2 separate regions of the Mus musculus genome follow, and region 1 is reported to be linked to region 2. Evidence: microRNA targets listed by miRTarBase, many of them from high-throughput screens and not tested one by one. Region 2 holds a microRNA gene; the other region holds the end of a gene's coding sequence.
Evidence for each region. The annotated mature microRNA mmu-miR-883a-3p reads UAACUGCAACAGCUCUCAGUAU and lies in region 2 at 1,663-1,684, opposite strand. An mRNA with a match to its seed (bases 2 to 7 or 8) in the 3' UTR can be bound and repressed. Matches are read on the target gene's strand: a 7mer-m8 pairs with bases 2 to 8, a 7mer-A1 pairs with bases 2 to 7 and ends in A, and an 8mer does both.

Region 1: the mRNA of Tsn is a reported target of mmu-miR-883a-3p. Seed matches in the 3' UTR shown: 7mer-A1 at 4,020-4,026.

What each region holds. Positions count from the first base shown.
Region 1 is chr1:118,296,092-118,301,249 of GRCm38, forward strand. It overlaps Tsn (translin), which reads right to left. Exons shown (of 6, transcript NM_011650.4): 6 at 2,423-4,946. The coding sequence ends at 4,713. Among named protein-coding and RNA genes, the nearest start is that of Tsn, 13 kb to the right of the region's middle.
Region 2 is chrX:66,779,106-66,784,263 of GRCm38, forward strand. It overlaps Mir883a (microRNA 883a), which reads right to left and starts at 1,728; the gene lies at 1,653-1,728. It overlaps Mir742 (microRNA 742), which reads right to left and starts at 1,332; the gene lies at 1,268-1,332. It also overlaps the pseudogene Gm14681.

The DNA.
Region 1 (5,158 bases), not on the chromosome of region 2:
GACAGGCTACCAGGTGAGCCCTGGGGAACCAATCCCCGCCTCCTTGGCACTGGTATTGTAAGTACACATTACTAAGTCCCAATTTTTTCAATTTGTTGAGAATGAGTCTTCAAGTTTGCCAGGTGTGCTATTAATCAATTCAGCAAAATCTCAAATCTCCTGTAAGACTGGCCTCTGAGCAGGGCTTGTAGGGGTTATCTTGACTGGGACAGGTGGGAAGCCCCACCCATTTTGGATGGTTCCACTCAGTGGGCTCTGATATTAGACTGTATAAAAGGCAGAAAGGCAGCTGAGCACCAGCATGGACCCATTTCTATCTCCTGCCTGGGAATGAGATGGGAGCAGCTGCTTCAAGCTCCTAACACTTGACTTCCCCACTGTGAAAGTACCTTTGACCTCAGAGCCAAAATAAACCCTACGAGGGTTGCTCTTATCAGGGTATTTTATCACAAGAAACGTAAGACAAAAGCCCTAACTTTTTAAAGGAAAAATAATTTTCCTCCTATATTCATGTTAAAATTTAAAAACAACTACACCCAGCTAAAAGGTATGCAGATACTGGGAACTCATAGTGGTTTTTGAATTTCTTCTTTTTGGGCTAGGGGGTAATAGCACAGAAGGTCATCAGGGAAGAGATGGTCTTACAGGAATGCCAAAGCTACAGTTAAACCAGACACGGCCAGAAGCACATGCCTATAGTCCCAGCTACTTGGAAGGCTCCAGCTGAAGGATCACTTGAGTAAAACGCCAGATTGGGCAACACACCAAGATCCTTCAATCATTTGAACACACATTTAAAAGGGCTTGTTTCACAACTTACTCAAGGAAAGCTCCTCTCCAAGCCAAGAAGTGCATACAGCTCAAAGTGTTAGCTGGAGTGTACCTCATCAGGCAGAGTGCTCAGCTACCACGGACAAAACCTTAGGTTTCAATCCCAATACTGATTAAACCAACCATGCTGGTAAAAGCCTGGAATCCCTGAGCTAGGGAGGTGGAGGCAATTAGGAATTGGAAAAACATCCAGAGACCACCCGAACTCTATCATCCTATAATTAGCCAAGTTTTAAGATGCAGCTTTCCTCAGTTCTGTGTCAGATTTGGAATTGAGGCCCAGCTAAAAGGGGAGGACCACTATAAAAACCAAAGGCCATAACTTACTCTAACTTACATGTGTGAGAGCATGCCGGCTCTTTTGCATTCCTGGACTTCCTGGCATTATCTTAACTGCTTCAAACTTCGGAAGATGGAGTCCTCAGCTGCTACATACCCTACTGGCTCTGGCCCATATGAATCAAATCATTGATTCATACTCATGTGAGGTATCTAACAGTGATGACTCCCCTTTTTATATAAGTAGTCAGCTTATGATTCAAGGACCTGCAGAGGGGATGCACTCACCAGGAGGGACTGAAGCTAGCAGTTGCTGCCAGAGATGCCTAAGGGTCTTCCACCTTAGTCAGCCCTTCCAGAAATACTCTGGAGGACCCAACTAGAGACATGTCTTTTAACTGATCTTTTAGACGTGTCCAGTCAAATTGACAACCAAGATTAACTGTCACGGCCACTGTAGTAAGCACTGCATGAATAAAATCAATTTAAAGGCAGTTGAGCCACCAGACTGACATGGGTGCTGGGAACCCAACTCAGAGCCTCTGAAAGCTATACATGCTCTTAACTGCTGAGCCATCTCTCCAGCTGCCCTACCTAATTTTCTAAAATTGGAAAACAGTGTTGAGGCTGGGGCTATACATCAATTGCTAAAACGTTTGCCCTGGACTTGATCCCTGGCATGGCATAAACCAGGTATCATGGAACACACAACCTGGGCACTCGTGGTAGAGGGAGGAGGATCAGAAGTCCAAAATCACCCTCAACTACACAGCAAATTGAAGGCCAGCCTGGGCTACAGGAGACCCTGTCTCAAAAAATAAATGACTAATTCTGGGAGCTGTGTACCTCAGTGGTAGAATGCATGTTTAGCATATGTGATGATCTGAGCTTAATCCATGGGTCAGCAAAACAAAAGGTATACTAAAACCAGAGGCAATATTTCTCAACATCTTCAATTCAAACACCTTTAATTTCTTCATGGAGGTCGATCATGCAGACAGTATCTGCATTTACATCAAAGCCCTGGGAGTGACTAGTGTCTTGGTTGGTGTCACCCTTACACAACAGCTCAGGCTTACCACTCCAGGCTTCTTCAGCCAGCAAGGAACATGAAATTTTTTTTTTTGAGACAGGGTTTCTCTGTGTAGCCCTGGCTGTCCTGGAACTTACTCTGTAGACCAGGCTGACCTCGAACTCAGAAATCCACCTGCCTCTACCAAGTGCTGGAATTAAAGGTGTGGGCCACTACTGGCCAGCAGAACATGAACAATTTGATTCTCCATAGAGAAGAAGAGTTCAAACAGCAGCACACTACTTTACAAAGAGACCAAAAACAGTTTTATTGCTTTACAAGCCAGTAACGAACACAACTAATTATCAACATGACACTTCTAAACTCTCAAGTAGAATCACAACACTAGAACATACTCCTTCACTTTTAAGTGCAATTTGTTCATTGCATCTGAAACTGAATTTCAAGAGTTATGTATGGTGGCAATGACCTAGAGTCCCAGCTGCTCACAGGCTGAGGCAAGAGGAGAGCTTCAGCCCAGGAGGTTGAGACCAGCCTAGACAACACTACAGGCAGGACATTACAACCTCTGTCTCTAAAGAGGAAAATATGAAACTTTTGACAAGAGCTTTAATGATGTCTAGCAGAACCCACAAGAACAGGCAAGAGCCTGTGAAACTACCATGCAACTGAAAAGCCTTCTACCTTCCCAGACACTTTCAAGAGTCTAATCCTGTACTCAGGAAACGGAAACAGAGGTGCGAGTTCCAGGCCAGCCTGGACTACCAGCAAAACCCTGTCTCAAATGGTAAACTAACAAAAATTGCCTAATACCTTACTCTAACCCTGCAAAAAGAACCATGAAGAAAGCTAGTCTACATGTCCAACAATATACAGCAATCACAGCTCATTCCTCAGGATGGGAAATTAGAGTCAGCCTCCTGCCACCCCGCTCGCTGCACAACGAAGGGTTGAACCCAAGGCCTCAAACATGCGAGGGAAAGTCACTGAAACATACCCCCAGCCTTTTTGGTTGGTGTTTTTTGTTTTTTGCTTGTGTGTGTGTGTGGGGGTGGGTGGTCTTTTTTTTTTTTTTTTTTTTTTTTTTTTGTCACAGGATCTCACTCAGTTAGACAGGCTACCCCTGAAGCCTTGAATTTGCCAATCTCCTGCCTCAGCCTCCTGTGTACCTGGGAGCACAAGCCTGCACTTTCAGGCCCCACTTTCCAGTTAGTCTCTAACCATGGCCTGATAAAAGCCAGTGTCAAAGATCCCACTGCACAAACATGAAGCCCAAAATGCTACCAAGAAAGAAAGGGTGACACCCCTGAGTACTTCCTATTACACTAGTAATGGCAGCAGCTTCCTGTCAGAGGGTGCAAAAAAAAAAAAAACCTACACTATTTTTGTTGGGTTTTTTTTTTCTTTTTTTCTTTCAGTTTTTTGAAGTCCTAGGATGGACCATTGCCTCACATTGCCAAGCAAGTCTATCACTAAAAGCTACATCACCAGCCTTGACTTTAATAATTTCAGTTCTACCCCAAGAATGGCCACATATGAATTCTTATGCGATCTGAAAAGGAGAGGGCATAGAGGAGCCCAAAGTTTACATGACTACCCTAAACTATACATTTTAAATGTACTGACAGAATCACAACCTTCAATTTCTTATTCCAAAAAATACTGCCAATCACATGAATTTTTTAAAGCCAAATTTTACTTTCTTCTACTCCAAACAGCACTGATGTCTCTAAGAAGCCACTCCTCAGTACAGATAAGGAGTGAATACATGAGGATGGCTTTCTACTCCCAGACCAGTTCTAGCTGGCTGCTGAGAAAAGGTCTCCATGTTTACAAATACAGCACACAGGTGTTAGCTCTAGGCAGGTGTAAAGACTAACTGCTACGGCAGCCGGGGTGTAAGGTGATGTCAGAAAACAGATGCTCTAACCCAACACAAGACATCACAACGCTTTTCCAGAGGCTCTTTCTACCTTGACCTTGCTGGGTTGAACTGTACAGTTTCATCTGCTCTGTTTTAGTAGCAGGGACAGAGTCGGGGCCTCAAATTTCCTAGGCAAAAAATTCAACTCACTTACAAGACTTAAGATGGGCAAAATAAAGTTCCCTTGCTTGTCAACCATTTTATTCTCACACTGCATCCAGGCTATAGCTGGAAATGGAGGACTAATCTGGACCTAGAAAACATCATTGTTTACTTGTGGGAGAAATTACAAACAAGACAACAAACCTGTCAGTCAGTACATCAACAGTCAGGTAAGCAAGAAAGGACTTTTACCAAGGGACCAACATTCACACTGTTGACAAAATGGTAATACGACGACAACACGGCACGGCAAGTGCACTGAAAATCAACAAAAAAACCCCATCCGTGGAAAGGTTTCTTTTTCTTTTTTTTTTTTTTGTTTAGATCCAAAAAGTATTTCAATTCTGACACTCACAGCACACAGCTGGTTACGAAAATAAAGCGCAGTGTTTAGCAACTGGTGTGCTAACTACAGGAAGAGGCACTGAGCTAGCCCTCCCTGGCAACTGCGGCGCCAGCAAGGCCAGCCCCAGGGAAAAGCTCCTATTTTTCACCACAAGCCGCTGCTGTCTCCTTATTGAAGCCTCGGATGGAAAGGTCATAGACCACCTCCTCTACTTTCTTCACATCGTACTTCAAGCCGTCGTAGCGCTTCCTCAGGGAGTCATTTTTCAGATTGAGAAGACGAAAACCAGAATCCAGCTCATTGATGAAAGTAGAAATGTGAAGGGGCCGAGAGTAGTCTCCAGCAGTGACACTGTTGACAGACAGCCTCGACTGCACAGGGAGAAAGAAATCGGATACATCACTATGTGGGTTCTCCCTCCACACCTTCCCACTAATCACAGCTAGAAGCTCAAATTGAAACAGCTACACTGAACTGATGTTCTGTATTCAAGATGCTTACATGTAAGCACATTAAAACAGAAGGTTCTCTGAAACAAACGCCACCAGAACTGAGGCAATGTCTGCTACACGTGATGGACATA
Region 2 (5,158 bases):
TTTCTTTAGATTATCTTCTTTCTTTACATTCTCTATTTTGAAAGTACCCATGAGGTGAAACATGGATAGTCTACACTATGTTGAAAAAGTAAGGATATGGGGCAACAAAGACTCAAACCGTTTCTGTGTTTAGTCTTTCATTAACACAGTGTACCTCATTTTCTTTTTATGAAAGCATAATTCTTAATTTTAGCACCTTGTTCTCCTTTTCCTTACCTAACATAGATGCTTGAATGCTGTCCCATGAAAGTGATTAAAAAGATACACACAATTGTATAGTAAGGCTTTGTGATCATCCTGAAAACCATTATCAGTGATCTTACATGGAAAGCACTAATACTACCTAGAACCTATCAAAAATAACTGAATTAAAGAGCAGTACTTTACCTGGAAGATTTGTCGGTAGTCCAACTGTCTAACAGCTTCTTGAGTGAGATATAACATAAAGCATGAAGATATGGAGGTATCATCCATGTAGGCTAATCATCCCAAGCAGTTTTCATCACTTCACCAATTACAGCATGACATATTAACATTGATTTATTTATTTTCAACTGTTTGGGAATACAAAATATACTTTGTCACCTTGCATGATAAAGGAAGACCTCTTGACCTATAGCCAGATAGCCAGTGTGACTTTAAGATTAATCAGTGATATACTTTGCAAATGACTTTTAAAAACTAGGTAATGAAAATCTTCTAAAAGAATCAGAATATTGGGAGCATAGGATGAGAATACAACACAATTGTACCTGTATATCGCTGTTCAATTACTGGAGAAAGTTACAGAATACAGAAGATAGGAACTTGGTCTATTTAAATTCAAATCACTGATACCATCATAATTTCAGTGACTTGAATTTAAATCTGTTTGGTTCTTTTTCACTTAGGGCCATATTTATAAAGGAAGACTCTAATTACTTGTAGCTTTTCAGTCCACTTTCGTGCACTCATCATCTAAGTTGTCACAAGATATTTGAATTGATATTCAGTTGGGCCTGAAATCATTGATTGGTTTTATTTCTGATATTTATATTCATGATCCCTATTGAGACTGGCATGCAATTTTCTGTTCTTATAATTTGTATAATTTGGGTTCTGTGCAAGCTAGAATAATGCTAACTTCCACAACATTTAAACTTAAAAAAAAAATGAGAGCATAGTTTCTTCAGGTACAAGGAAGCAGATTCTGGAGCCATAATAAGGATGTATAGTTTCTTCATCTTTACTACCCAAGGCCACAACAAATGAAGAACATGATGAGCTTTACTTTACCCAGCATGGTGGCTTTCACCTACACTTCACGTGATTAGCAACCATGTGAGTAGAGCACTGCCCAGGTACTCTAGAACCAGCCCATCTGAAGTCTTTATTTCAACATGTGAAATAAAATTGAATAGAACATTGAAGTAAGTCGTCAACAATAATTACTTTTTTTTTTTAACCACACATTCTTCTTCGAAGCTGTCTTCTCATGTTCCACCATTAGGATTTTTCTTAGTATACTTCTAAAGTTCTACAACCGTTCTCTTCTCTATGGTTATAGATCTGAAGATATCATGAAGATGGATGAAGTATAATCCAGAATCAGTACATTTATCTTCTCTATGAAGGCATAATATGACCATATGGCTACCATCCCTGCGTTTGTTGAGCCTTACAATACTGAGAGCTGTTGCAGTTACTTATAGAATAAAGTAACTGCTACTTCTCTCAGCATTATAGTGCACACGAATTATTATTATTATCAGCTGACTTCAAAAACAACTTTCATGATTCTTCTCAGTATGACATGAATGCAATGTTATTTCTTTACACATAATTCCTCAGGAAGTATAATCATATTTTCCATTATCTTCCATCTCCATTTCAAGGTATCAGACTTGCTTCTTTCTTGATACTCCTCGAATCTGTATGAATTCAAGAGGTTAAGAATTAACAAGTCATAGCCGGGCGTGAATCCCATCACTCGGAAGGCAGAGGCAGGCGGATTTCTGAGTTCGTTTAAGGCCAGCCTGGTCAACAGAGAAACCCTGTCTCAAAAAAACAAAACAAAACAAAACAAAAATAGAATTAACAAGACAAATATTCTTATAAATATATAGGTCAGGTGACACCAAAGAATAACAAATGAACAAGGCAAGACCTCAAGATACCTGCAATGATTTAGTCATCAGCATCAAGAGAATATATCAAATGAAGGCTTCAGTATGTATTAATCTGTACTTTGAGATAGCATAGACTGATCCTTTGTACTTCATCTCAACAACAACAATTTCATCCAACAGCTTTTATCACAATCTTCACAATTAAACACACCCCCACTAAACTGTGTCTGTAAATGTTTGATTTCACACTTAAGCTGATGATATTGAAAATCCAATTGATTTTGCATGTACATTTCACATAAAAACCTGTCACTACCCTAACTTAAAGAGAAATGATGATCACAACAAAACATATTCTTTTATCAAACTTAATTATAATTATGACCAAAGTGAATATGAAATTGTAAAGGATTAATAAAAATATAATTTAAAAAATGTGGATTTTAGGTCAAAAGTTTTATGGGTGGGTTCGTGTCCTTATCTTTCACAGGAGGTCCTGCCTGTTTATAGGAGGTGGCCTCTTCAGGTTCCATGTCCACATTGTTAGGCATCTCAGCTAAGGTCACACACAATGGCTCCTGGGAGCCTTCCCTATCCTAGGTCTCAGGGTCTGCTTAGAGATTACCTCCACCCGTAAGTCCCCTGCAAGATAGAGATTTCCATTCATTCTCCTGGGCCTATGGGCCTCTTTCTTTTCCCTTCCCACACCTGATCCTGCAAACATATCCCCCTCACATACCCACATTGCTCCCTCTGCCTCCCATGACAGTTCTGTTACCCTTTTTAAGTGTGATTCAAGCATCTTCAATTGGGCCTTCCTTCTTGTTTAACTTCTTAGGGTCTGTGGGCGTATGTCATGGGTATAAGTATGTACATACCATGCATGTTCTTTTCTGTCTGGGTTATCTCACTCAGGATATTTTCTAGTTCCATCCATTTGACTGCAAAACTCAGGATGTCCTCCCTCTTAATAGCTGAGTAGTATTCCACTGTGTAAATGAAATACATTTTCTCTATCTATTCTTCAGGTGAAGAATATCTGGGTTGCAGTATTGCTGAATCTTCAGGTAGAACTATTTACAATTTTTTTGAAAAAACACCAGATTGATTTCCAGAATGGGTCTTCAAGATTGCAATCCCACCAGCAATGGAGGAATGTTCTTCTTTCTTCTCCACATCCTTGCCAGCATCTGCTGTTGCATCAGTTTTTTATCTTAGCTATGCTGATTTGTGTAAGATGGAATCTCAAAATTTGTCCTGTCTAAAAGAAATGCAGGGACAAAGATAGATCAGAGACTGAAGGAATGGCCAACCAATAACTCGTCCAAAGTGAGATCCATCAAATGAAAAAACACCAATCTCTGACATTATTAATGATACTCTGTTATGCTTGCAAACTCTGTTATGCCTTGAGAAGTTCCAACCAGAAGCTAAGTGAATAGATGTAGAGTCCCACAACCAAACATTGAACAGAGGTTTCAGACGACTTATGGACAAGTTGGGGAAAGGACTGAAGGGCCTGAAGGCAACAGGAACACCATAGGAAAACCAAATATGTCTACTAACCTGGACCACTGGAAGCTACTGGAGACTTTTTCACCAACCAATGAGCATACATCGGTTGGACAAAGACCCCTGGCACATATGTAGCAGAGGTCAGCCTTGTCCTGCCTCTGTAGGAGAGGATTATCCTAATTATGCAGACTTGATGAGCCTGGATGAGGGGCAATGGAAGAGGGACTGTAAGGGAGGCAACATGAGATATAAATAAAAAACATGATAAGACCAAATTTAAGTATTATTTATCTATAAATCAATCTTTGTAGAGACTGTGCTAGAAGCAAAACTTCACCTTGTGTGAGGAGCCGCCCTCACATTTGCCATTATAAGATGGCACTGACAGCTGTGTTCTAAGTGGTAAACATAGTCTGCACACATGCAGGGGCAGTTTTCCCACCATGTGTTCTGCCTTTCCCGTGATGACAACTGGGCCGATGGGCTGCAGCCAATCAGGAAGTACTACATCCTAGGTGGAGGATAATTCTCCTTAAAAAGGGATGGGGTTTCGCCATTTGCTTGCTTGCTCTCTTGCACTCTGGCTCCTGAAGATGTAAGCAATAAAGCTTTGCCGCAGAAGATTCTGGTTTGTTGCGTCTTTCCTGGCCGGTCGTGAGAACGCGTTAATAAGAATTGGTGCTGAAACCCGGGATCGAACCAGGGACCTTTAGACCTCTCAGCAATGCAGGCTTAGCGGCTGCCATCCTTCAATCCCAAAAATGCTCCATGGGCAGAAATGATCGGAGGACATGTTTTAACTGCAGAAAGCCTGGGCATCTTAAGAAAGATTGCAGAGCTCCAGATAAAAAGCGGGGAACCCTCACTCTTTGCTCTAAGTGTGGCAAGGGTTATCATAGAGCTGACCAGTGTCGCTCTGTGAGGGATATAAAGGGCAGAATTCTTCCCCCACCTGATAGTCAATCAGCTTATGTGCCAAAAAACGGGTCATTGGGCCCTCGGTCCCAGGGCCCTCAAAGATATGGGAACCGGTTTGTCAGGACCCAGGAAGCAGTCAGAGAGGCGACCCAGGAAGACCCACAAGGGTGGACCTGCGTGCCGCCTCCGACTTCCTACTAATGCCTCAAATGAGTATTCAGCCGGTGCCGGTGGAGCCTATACCATCCTTGCCCCCGGGAACCATGGGCCTTATTCTCGGCCGGGGTTCACTCACCTTGCAGGGCTTAGTAGTCCACCCTGGAGTTATGGATTGTCAACATTCCCCTGAAATACAGGTCCTGTGCTCAAGCCCCAAAGGCGTTTTTTCTATTAGCAAAGGAGATAGGATGGCTCAGCTGCTGCTCCTCCCTGATAATACCAGGGAGAAATTTGCAGGACCTGAGATAAAGAAAATGGGCTCCTCCAGAAATGATTCTGCCTATTTGGTTGTATCTTTGAATGATAGACCTAAGCTCCGCCTTAAGATCAACGGAAAAGAGTTTAAAGGCATCCTTGATACCGGAGCAGATAAAAGTATAATCTCTATACATTGGTGG